3 linked regions of the Callithrix jacchus genome follow. The protein of the gene in region 1 interacts with the protein of each later gene in a biochemical or structural test. Links are inferred from orthologs where the notes say so. Each region holds a gene or a part of one and is shown in the gene's direction. Other genes may lie near its edges.

Region 1 (3,655 bases):
GAAGTGTGATGAGAATAAAAACAAATTGGTTTTGCCACAAATGGTGCTTTCTGAAAGTTTTCAAGGCTTAAGTGAAGTCTTTGGATTTATACTTTCATTTATTTGAGCAATTTTGATGTTCAGCTCCTTTATTGTTTAAGTTGTGAAATACCCTGTCATTCTGTTTCAGGAGCACGTGCAGAAACTAATTCCCGTGTCAGTGGTGTTGATGGATATGAGACAGAAGGCATTCGAGGACTCCGGGCCCTTGGTGTTAGGGACCTTTCTTACAGGCTGGTCTTCCTTGCTTGCTGTGTTGCACCAACCAACCCAAGGGTAAGTCGTTTTTAGGTTTTTGTTTGTTTTTGAAACAGAGTCTCTCACTCAGTCTGGAGTGCAATGGCAAAGTCATGGCTCACTACAGTCTCTACTTCTGGGCTTAAGTGATCCTACCACCTCAACCTCCTGAGTAGCTGGGATTATAGGTGCACAGTTAAAAAAAATTTTTTTAGAGATGAGATCTTGCTCTCTTGGCCATGCTGGCCAACAGTGAGTCTTAGAATGACAGCTTAAGAAAGACCTGCCCTTAGACTGCCACAAAGTGATAGGATTCTGAGACATCTAGGTTATCTAGTCAATGTTAAGAGCAGGGGATGGGGTTGAGATTTCATGAGTTTTAAAACCAAATCTTTTGATGTATGTCTTTCTGATCTTGAAAAAAAAATGTCTTATTTGATGTCTTACATAAGAGCTCAATGCTTTACATGCAGTGGTACAAATTATCCACCCTGCTTTTAAGTTTTACAGTTCCTCTGTTATACTTCTGGAGGAAATATAAATAAAAAGATTTAGTAATCTGGGAAGTAAATTTCTAAGAACGATGAACCCTGGGCAGTATCGTTCAGTTAACTTGATTCTGTGTCATAAATGAGAATTTGGAAAATAGTTCAGTGTTGGAAAAAAGAGAGTGAACATCATGTTATTTGCATCTTTATGTCAGTGATGAACATTCTACTCATCTCTTGAGCATTCAGATTGTTTTAAATATAGGTATAAAACAGTAGTGGTAGCTTTTTTTTCTTTTTCACTCACTGGACAAATGACAAACCCTAAGTGTCTTTGTTAACTGAGGGCTTACTAGTTTGGGGAATTTATTTTATTATTATTTTTTAATTTACAGTCAATAAATTGTTAGGTTGACTTCCCATGCTATGTTGTTTGTAATGAAGTTTCTTCTCCTTTACACTGTTTTTATTGCTTCTGTACTAATAATTCTTCCTTTGTTCTCTACCCTTAGTTTGGAGGGAAAGAGCTCAGAGATGAGGAACAGACAGCTGAGAGCATTAAGAACCAAATGACCGTGAAAGAATGGGAGAAAGTGTTTGAGATGAGTCAAGATAAAAATCTATACCACAATCTTTGTACCAGCCTATTCCCTACTATACATGGTAAGAATTCCATTCCATCCATAGCATAAACTTGAAATCAAAATAATGATTATAAATAGCCACAAATGATTTCTTAAAGCATGTAAATCAGACAATGAAAGTTTTTAGTGAGTCTAAAAGGTCACCTCAAAAGGACAGGTACGTGATTTCGCTTACACGAGGTACCTCTAATACGCGAATTCATAGAGAGAAGGTAGGATAGAGGTTACCAATGGCTGGGGAAATGAGAGAAATGAGTTATTTAATGGATAAAGTTGCTATTTGGGATGACGACAAAGTTCTGGAAAGGGATAGTGGTGACAGTTATACAACATAATGTACTGACTGCCACTGAACTATACACTGAAAAATGGTTAAAATGATGAGTTTATTATCTATTTTTATCATATTTTTTTTTTTTTTTTTGAGACGGAGTCTTACTCTGTCACCAGGCTGGAGTGCAGTGGCGCAATCTCGGCTCACTGCAACCTCCACCTGGGTTCAAGCGATTCTTTCGCCTCAGCCTCCCGAGTAGCTGGGACCACAGGTGCGTGCCACCACGCCTGGCTAATTTTTGTATTTTTAGTAGAGACGGGGTTTCACCATGGCCAGCATGGTCTCGATCTCTTGACCTCGTGATCCGCCCGCCTTGGCCTCCCAAAGTGCTGGGATTACAGGCGTGAGCCACCAAGCCCGGCCTATCACAATTTTTTTTAAGAAAAGGTCATTTTGTCATCTTATTTCCTGGCCTTGTGACAGAACTGCACTTAAGTGTGTTTCAATATGATAGACTAGTCTCCTAGCCTTTTGTTGTTTTGCATGCATGCGCATGCATGTGTGTTTTAAAGAGACAGGGTCTTGCTATGTTATCTAGGCTGAAGCAGTCCCTACTGGGCTAAAGCAGTCCTCCTACCTCCAGCCTCCCCAGTAGCTGGGATTACAGGTGTAGGCCACCACTTTTGGCGCTTGTATCTTTTTTTTTCTTTTGAAACATGGGTCTTGCTTTGTTGCCCAGGCTGGAGTGCAGTGGCGTGATCTTGGCTCACTGCAGCCTCCGCCTCCTGGGTTCAAGTGATTCTCCTGGCTCAGCCCTTCCAAGTAGCTGGGATTATAGGCACCTGCTACCATGCCAGACTAATTTTTGTATTTTTAGTAGAGATGGGATTTTTGCCATGTTGGCCAGGCTGGTCTCGAACTCCTGGCCTCAAGTGATCTGCCTTGGCATCCCAAAGCGCTGGGATTACACGGGTGAGCCACTGCACTCTGCCCTTTATTTCTATCTAAATATAAGTTAGAGAAGTTTTGTTTGTGGAATGGGTTTTTAATTTTCTACCACTTTTGTTTTGTTTTGTTTTTTGAGACAGGGTCTCACTCTGTTGCCCAGACTGGAGTGCGGTGGCAGCGAACATGGCTCATGACAGCCTCAACCTCCTGGGCCTCAGCAGTTCCCCACCACAGCCCCCATATTAGCTGGGATTACAGATGCTTGCCACCATGCCAACCTAATTTAAAAAGAAAAATTTTTTTAGAGATGGGGTTTCAACCATGTTGCGTGGGCTAGTCTCAAACTTCTGGGCTCAAACAATCCTCCTCCTTGGCCTTCCAGAATGCTCAGATTACAGGCATGAGCCACCACACAGAGCCTAATTTTCCACATTAAGGAATGCCTAATGTAAGTTTGCATAGCACTTTGTTGATGGAGTTCACAGAGTCGATAATTCCACAGAAAAATGTTTCTTTGAATAGCAGTGTTCTTTTTAAAGAAAATTACACTTTTTCTTCTTGGATTTATGAACTAAGCAGCTGTAAATTGTATTCAGCATCTTATTTAATCCACATGAATTCGGTTAACGTATTTATTCAGTGCTGGTCACTGTAGGTATTAGAAAAGAAATGTTATGAACCATTTCCTCAAACACTTGAAAGAACTATGAGAACAGCCATTAAAAAGGACTAGCAAATGTGGTAGGCTTTGGTGGACGTAGTTTATTTATCAGGAGACAGGGCTAAGGCATTGGGTGAGGTTTTGTGTAGGAAGTAGGACTCATGGACAAGTAAAGGCTCTTAGGATGGTGAGCACTGGCATCTGTGACATTTGTGGTATAGGAGAAAACATTCGAACTGTGGTTTAGGTGCCTAAGTCCACGGAGCAAGAACCAAGGTCAGAGCCAGATATTATTACTCCAGTTTTATGCTTTGCTTTAGCTGACTTTGCCTTTTGGTTAGTAAACATGCCTTTATCGTTTCCT
Region 2 (3,655 bases), on another chromosome or scaffold:
CAAAGTGCTGGGATTATAGGCGTGAGCCACTGTGCCTGGCCTAGTAATTTGCATTTATAAAAAGGATTCGGGTGGTGCTAATGATGCTGTTCAGGGAACCAACTTTGAGGACCAGTTTACTACTGGATTTAACATCTGGGCGTCATAATCATCTGAGGAGTCACCCATCCCTACTTCTTTTTCAGAACTGGCCTTTGTCCAGTTAAGTAACCGTGTTTGGAAGTCCTGCTCAAACATGGTGTTAGGATTGTATGAGCATTTTCAACAAATTCAGCTCCATAACAAGTGTAGAATTTTTGTTTTGTACTCCAAATCTTCATAACACTTGTGTGATGAATACAGATGGTGGCAGGATTGGCCCACTGTGTGGTTTGGTGGTTTTAGTTCACATAAATCTGTATTCCATCAAATAGCTCACTTTTTGGTCTTAGCCAGTTCCCGTAAGTGCCTTCTGTAGATGACATGCTAATTGTAAGGAGTAAATAAACTACACAGTAGATAAATGGACTATCACTTTGACTGGGTGATCAAAATTAACGTCACCAACGAAGGGAAGATGAACATCATGTCTTTCCAGATACCTAGAAGGACAAAATATCACTTAAACAGTAGTTTGAAACCATCATTTAAACAGCAGTTTGGTTATACTTGATTGGAATCTAATCATAAGGGAACCAACAAATCCAAATTGAGAAGCATTCAATGTTTTAAAAAGGACCTTATTCTTCTTAAATAGCAATGTCATAAAATATAAAGCTTGAGGAACTATTTCAGATTAAAGGGGAGTAAAGAGACCTGATAGCTAAATGCAAAAGTGATCCTAGGCCAGATCCTGTACTGAAGGGTAAAAAGTGCTACAGAGGATAGTATTGGGTCAATTTTGAATTTCCTGAGGTTGGTAACAGTACTACGGTTATAGAAGATAGTTTCCTTAGGAGATACACTGAAATATTTTAAGGCAAAAATACGTGATAGTACAACTTAATCTTTTGTTTGTATGTTTGATTTTTTGAGATGGAGTTTCGTTCTTGTTGCCCAGGCTGGAGTGCAGTGGCACGATCTTGGCTCGCCACAACCTCCACCTTCCAGATTCAAGCAGTTCTCCTGTCTCAGGCTCCCCGATAGCTGGGATTACAGGCATGCGCCATCACGCCTGGCTAATTTTATATTTTTAGTAGAGATGGGGTTTCTCCATGTTGGTCAGGCTGATCTCAAACTCCCAACCTCAGGTGATCCCCCCCACCTCAGCCTCCCAAAGTGCTGGGATTGTGGGCGTGAGCCACCACACCCAGCCTATGCAACTTATATGAGTCAGAAAAATAATAAGAGATGGAGCAAATGATAAGCAAGTGAGGCAGGGATACAGGTGTTATTCCCAATTTTTTTGAATCTGGAATTATTCCCAAATGAAATTGTAAACAAACTTCAGCTCTTCATTTCAGGATAGTTGTAAAGATTAACTAAAAACTACATAAAAAGATTTTAAAAGAACAAAGTGCTTTACAAGCAGTGGCTCATATGCTGCTGAATCTAGGTAGCCTTGTATCTCATTCTGTAGGTGTCCCCAGCTTCACTGTGGGTACCAGAGAGCTGGCAGGAAGTCAACATCCTCCTGATTTATAACTGTCCCTCTCCCGGACCAGTACAGTTTCTTGAATATGTCTTGTGTAGTACTTCAGACATGCTGAAGTATAAAATTCATCCTTCTAGCTAGAGTTCATTCTATCATAGTAGCAAATTTTAGTTTGGTTTTTGCTGGCTAAACTATTGTGTGACTCACCTGATCATAGTCTCTGATTATATATTGCCTGTATATTAGCTTTGAAAAGTACATTTCTCTTTTCAGCCCAAAATGGAGTTAATCCTGACTGGGAGAAGAAAGTAATTGAGTATTTTAAGGAAAAGCTGAAGGAAAATAATGCTCCTAAGTGGGTAAGCTTATTGCTGTTTTTGGGGGAGAGGGTTGGGCAGACTGTACAGTTTCTCTTGGTAGAGTAGTAACACACATGTAATTTTAAAATATGTGGATTAATGTGTACTTCTGCTTCAAGTAAGTATGAAAAGACTTTCGTCTCTTGCTAATTAAGCAAATAAATACTAATACATTATGCCTCTAGGTGGCAGTAACTGACTGTATTGCTTCCTAAGACAAATCTTTAGTTGCAAAAGCATCAATTACCTTTGTTTTATTATCTTCATTTTGAAAGAATTGGCGTATGCTAGTTTTAAGAGAAGAGCTCAACCAGGTGAATGCCTTTTTGCTAATTGAAAAGTGTTCTAAATGAAAAACATTTTTTAGCATTCTTTTACATTATGGTCAAATGTTATCTAAACTGGGAAGAACTGGAAGAGAACTTATCCCCAGAATTATGTTGGCCAGTGAGATCATTTGGCTCCCTGGCCAATGATGAGGTATGGGTGGGTGTGTGTTTAACAGTTTGAGTCTGGATATAAAGTTTGTGTATGTATGCTTCATGTTGTATAGACGGGATATTTAGTTGACTTACTTGATTATTTTCTTTTAAGGTACCATCACTGAATGAAGTTCCCCTTCATTATTTGAAACCTAATAGTTTTGTGAAATTTCGTTGCATGATTCAGGATATGTTTGACCCTGAGTTTTACATGGGAGTTTATGAAACAGTTAATCAAAACACAAAAGCACATGTAAGTATTGCTGTTTTCCTGAATTTGTGATATTAATTTTGTTCTTGTGCTGTTTGTGGTAGTTTTGGTTCTGATATATTGATATAATTCTGTTTTCCTCTGTTTTGGGTCATAGGTTCTTCATTTTGGAAAATACAGAGATGTAGCAGAGTGTGGGGTATGTATCTTTAATATATGTAAAACATTTTTAGTAAGAATTTTTCCTAAGCAGAGAATTTGTAATTTGGCTAATCTTAAATTTGTTTATCTTGTGTATAAGTCATAAGAAATCATGTGAAATGTTTTCTTTCTTTTTTTGGGGGGGGGGAAGATTTATTACTTCCAGACAGCAAGGAACAACAGAAACCCAGGATTCAAGTTGAGTGGGTCTCCAAGCCTTAGAAAAGCTGTCCAGAGTAGAGGGAGTCATGTACCCCACTTGCACAAATAAAGAAATGTTTTCTTTATTTGGCTTTATTTAAGAGTTTGATGTGACGTTTTTATTCTTCTAAAGATCTTTTAGAAGGGAAAATACTGTTAATGCCAAAATTAATTTCTCTCTCCCATATCCATATATAATATATATGTAAAACAAAATACCCTAGGTTGCAAAATTAAATTCTTTTTTATTCTTTCAAAGACAAAGCCGGTGGCAATCCCACTGTTTTTCATAGAAAACTGTCAGGATCACCTGTAATATAGAAATTTAGTGAAATAATCATTCCTAGGTAGCTCTGAGATGAGATTCAAAAGTCAGATATTACTCCCTAGGAAAGGCATATTCTCTTTCAAATATACTTAGAAAACTCTAAGAGGTAGAAGGGACCCAAGAGACATCAAGTTTGAGCCTAATGCATACAAGCTAGGATTTTTTGTTTGCTTTTCTTTCTAGGCCCAAGGTACCTTTTTCCTAAAATGACTCTTTTATTTATGATTTTTCAGCAACATGTGTACTGACTCTCTCTTAGCCTTTAATAGTGTCACACATGGGCAGCCTCTTCTCTTTTAT
Region 3 (3,655 bases), on another chromosome or scaffold:
CAAAGTAATTGTTCCTTATGGCATTTCAACTAGTTTTCCTAGTTGAAATTTAAATTTATTTAAAAAGTAAAGTAATGACTGGGTGTGGTAGCCCATGTCTATAATCGCAGCACTTTGGGAGGCGAAGGCAGGTGGATCATGAGGTCAGGAGTTCGAGACCAGCTTGGCCAACATGGTGAAACTCTGTGTCTACTAAAAAAAAAATTAAAAACTACCTGGACATGGTGGCGCATGCCTGTAGTCCCAGCTACTCGGGAGGCTGAGGCAGGAGAATCGCTTGAACCTGGGAGGCTGAGGTTGCAGTGAGCTGAGATTGTACCACTGCACTCCAGCTTGGGTGGCAGAGGGAGACTTCATCTCCCTCCCCCCAAAAAATAAAGTGAAATAACATGTAAAAACAGTATATACGATTTATTGTTTTTCTTAAATCTTTGATTTAATAGGAAACAAAATATAAACCAACTAATTATAGATAAAGAATTCCAGTGAAACCTAGCTATTTTATTTCTCATGTTAAATATAATTTACTACAAAACCAAAGAGAAAGAAACTTTTTAATATGAGACTCAAAAGAAATCACTTTTGACCACATATTTATGTTGATAGCCATTAAGACTTAATACAAATAAATTTTTTCTTAGCTGCTTTAACCTTTTTAACCTGTTCTCTAGTTAAGCACTATGTTTTAAATTTTTCTGATCTTTTTATAGGTGTGTTTAAGTAGAGGAAAATTATTAGTTGAAAAAGCTATCAAGGACCATGTAAGTAGGAACTATAAAAATTTACACTGTACATTTTGTTACTAAAAACTCAACTGGAAATTACAGATGTTCCTGAAACTATATTTTCCACATTTGTAGGCAAAAGCCTGAATCTCAGCATGTATTTTATTTTACAAAGTACAGAACTTAACTTTTCATGGAGAAATATCCCCATCTTCTAGACTTTTAAAATATTACTGGAAACTTGAAACTTGCCTTATGTATTACATTGTCAAGGATGTGGTTATAAAGTGGGATTGATTTTAGAAAAGCCAAAAGAAAATCTTGATGTCCTGGCTATTGTAACTCTATAGGGTCTGTTACAAATAACCACCTTAGTGACACATTAAGCTTCAAATAGTTAAGTGTTTACTAAATTTAGGTCATCTTAATTTCCTTAAACAACTATAAAACTTTTTTTAACAGGATTTTATTCCTTCAAATAGTATATTATCAAATGCCTTATCATGGGGAGTAAAAATTCTTCATATTGATGGTAAGGATTTTATAATTTTTTTTTGACAATATTTGTTATAAGTGTTTATGTCTGTCCTTTGGTTCCTGACTTTACCTGGTGGAATTTTGATAGCAAGGGTGTCTGAGTCTATTTCCTCCTGCTTATAACAGAATACCTGAAACTGGGTAATGTACAAAGAAGGGTAATGTACAAAGAAAAGGAATTTGTTTTTTACAGTTATGGAGACTAAGAAGTCCAAGTTCAAAGGGCTGCATCTGGTGAGGGCCTTTTTGCTGGTGGAGACTCTGCAGAGTCCTGAGGCAGTACAGGGTATCACATGATTGAGAGGCTGTGTGTGTTTACTCAGGTCTTTTCATCCTCTTATAAAGACATCAGGTCCACTCCCATGATAACCCATTAATCCATTAACCCATTAATCCCCTCTTAGAGGTCCAACCTCTCAGTAGTACTATCATAGGGGATTAAGTTTCAACATGAGTTTTAGAGGAGACAAACATTTAGACCATAACATAAGGGATACCTATAATGGCAAATTCTTTATCTAATTTAACTACAAAAAAAATGACTTTTTAATTCCAAAAGTAAAATTGCTAATCTTAAAACCTTCTTTCTTTTAATAAAGACATAAGATACTACATTGAACAAAAGAAAAAAGAGTTGTATTTACTCAAGAAATCAAGTACTTCAGTAAGAGATGGGGTATGTTTTCTTTTTAAAATTTTAAACTAAATTTTTAAAGTGACCAAGCTTGGTTTTTTTTAATTTATGTATTTGTAAATTTTTCCTGCCAAAAAGAAAATAATCGTAGGGACAAGCCTGTGTACTATGTGGCTTTTCTGTTATTCAAATAAATCATGTGTCGTTTAATTTTAGGGTCATACTCACCAGGTAAAAGTTGTTTCCGGAATAATGGCATATGTCGCTTCCCCAGCCCCCTTTTTTACTGCTGTTTTGTAACAGGTACTTTTGTTTATTCTGCAGAAAAACACTAAAATCAACCTATTGTATAAAAGTTACTATGCTATCCTTTTCAACTGCTCTAGATGGTGGTATAACAAAATCTTGTTTTAGCATGGCTACCTTGAAGTATTTGTTAACCACATTGGTTATTATATTCTGTTAAACCTAATGTTCCCATTATCTTCAGTCCCTTTCTTTTTCCTTGTTGCTTCTTTGAAGCATCTATACAGATTCAGGCCTTTTCCATCCTTTAAAACAAATACAGTAAAACCTGCCTTGATCCCATGTCCCTAACTACTTATTATCTAATCCTTAAAATTCCTTAACCAAACTTTCAAATCTCTACTTTTATACTTGCCATTCACTTTTCAACCTACAAAGTATAAAATTTCAGACCAGTTTTTTTATCATTTTGACACTTTTTAAAAGCCAGACATATTGGTTCTCTCAGCTGTTGTTCATGTCTTCCCTAAACTTTTCTTTTATGAAATTTCATCTCTTAGCTTTCTCGTGGCCTCTTCATATTTCTCAGGCCTTTCTTTTGCGGCCTGCTTTTCCTTTGTTCAATACTTAAATTACAGGGGTCTAAATATAATAAGCTGATAGGAAATTGTATATAAAGACATGAAACTGTAGTAGGGTGGCATATTTTAGAAATCTTGCATAGCATTATACACCTGATCTTTGAATGTGCCAGTGACAAAAGATAAAGCTGGAAAAATCAGTATGTTAAGATTATATAGGGTTTTGCATGATATAAAGGAGTTAGATTTTATGTTGGAGGGTTTGGAAAATTATGGAACTAATATAAATAGAAGAGTAACTTCATTGGATAGTCATTTTGGAAAGGTCTTCCAGTTGCCATTAAGAATGAATTATTTGGCAAGACTGGAAAATGGCTTTTACACTCTTGAACACAATTTTTTTTGTTTGTTTAAATAGGCTTACCCTCTGTTACCCAGGCTAGAGTGCAGTGATGCCATCTCAACTCACTGCAACCTCCTCCTCCCAGGCTCAAGCAATCTTCCCACCTCAGCCTCCCAATTAGCTGGGACTACAGGCATAAGCCACTATACCTGGCTAGTTTTTGTATTTTTTGCAGAGGCAGGGTTTCATCATGTTGCACAGGCTGGTCTCTAATTCCTGAGCTCAAGTGATCTACCCATCTCTGCTTTACCAAAGTGCTGACATTACAGCCGTGCACCACCACACTTAACCCTCATTTTTTGTTGAATACATTTTACATGATGACTACTCAGTATATACATGCCACATATAAGGATGCATAAAGTTTCTATGCATTTCACATTTTTAATAAATTCACATGTATATTAGAATAATTTGCAGAAAGCAAAGTATTTAGTATTTAAATAAAACTCAATATTTGTCTCATTTATGGATTAAAAATTTAAATGACTATTTCCAAATTTTCACAAAATACAAGTGGATATTTCTG

What was found.
Region 2: the proteins of MCM6 (region 1) and MCMBP form a complex in vitro, tested with the Homo sapiens proteins (2 studies listed by BioGRID). The link is inferred for Callithrix jacchus from reciprocal best matches to the Homo sapiens genes MCM6 and MCMBP.
Region 3: of the proteins of MCM6 (region 1) and DBF4, one has a biochemical effect on the other in vitro, tested with the Homo sapiens proteins (2 studies listed by BioGRID). The link is inferred for Callithrix jacchus from reciprocal best matches to the Homo sapiens genes MCM6 and DBF4.

The regions. Positions count from the first base shown.
Region 1 is NC_133507.1:94,653,416-94,657,070, forward strand, and holds part of MCM6 (DNA replication licensing factor MCM6), read left to right. Parts: intron 1-169; coding exon 170-315; intron 316-1,276; coding exon 1,277-1,427; intron 1,428-3,655. UniProt on the Homo sapiens protein: Acts as a component of the MCM2-7 complex (MCM complex) which is the replicative helicase essential for 'once per cell cycle' DNA replication initiation and elongation in eukaryotic cells.
Region 2 is NC_133513.1:112,957,376-112,961,030, forward strand, and holds part of MCMBP (mini-chromosome maintenance complex-binding protein), read left to right. Parts: intron 1-1,846; coding exon 1,847-1,932; intron 1,933-2,526; coding exon 2,527-2,667; intron 2,668-2,782; coding exon 2,783-2,824; intron 2,825-3,655. UniProt on the Homo sapiens protein: Associated component of the MCM complex that acts as a regulator of DNA replication.
Region 3 is NC_133512.1:61,855,645-61,859,299, reverse strand, and holds part of DBF4 (protein DBF4 homolog A), read left to right. Parts: intron 1-710; coding exon 711-761; intron 762-1,187; coding exon 1,188-1,257; intron 1,258-1,861; coding exon 1,862-1,938; intron 1,939-3,655. UniProt on the Homo sapiens protein: Regulatory subunit for CDC7 which activates its kinase activity thereby playing a central role in DNA replication and cell proliferation. Required for progression of S phase.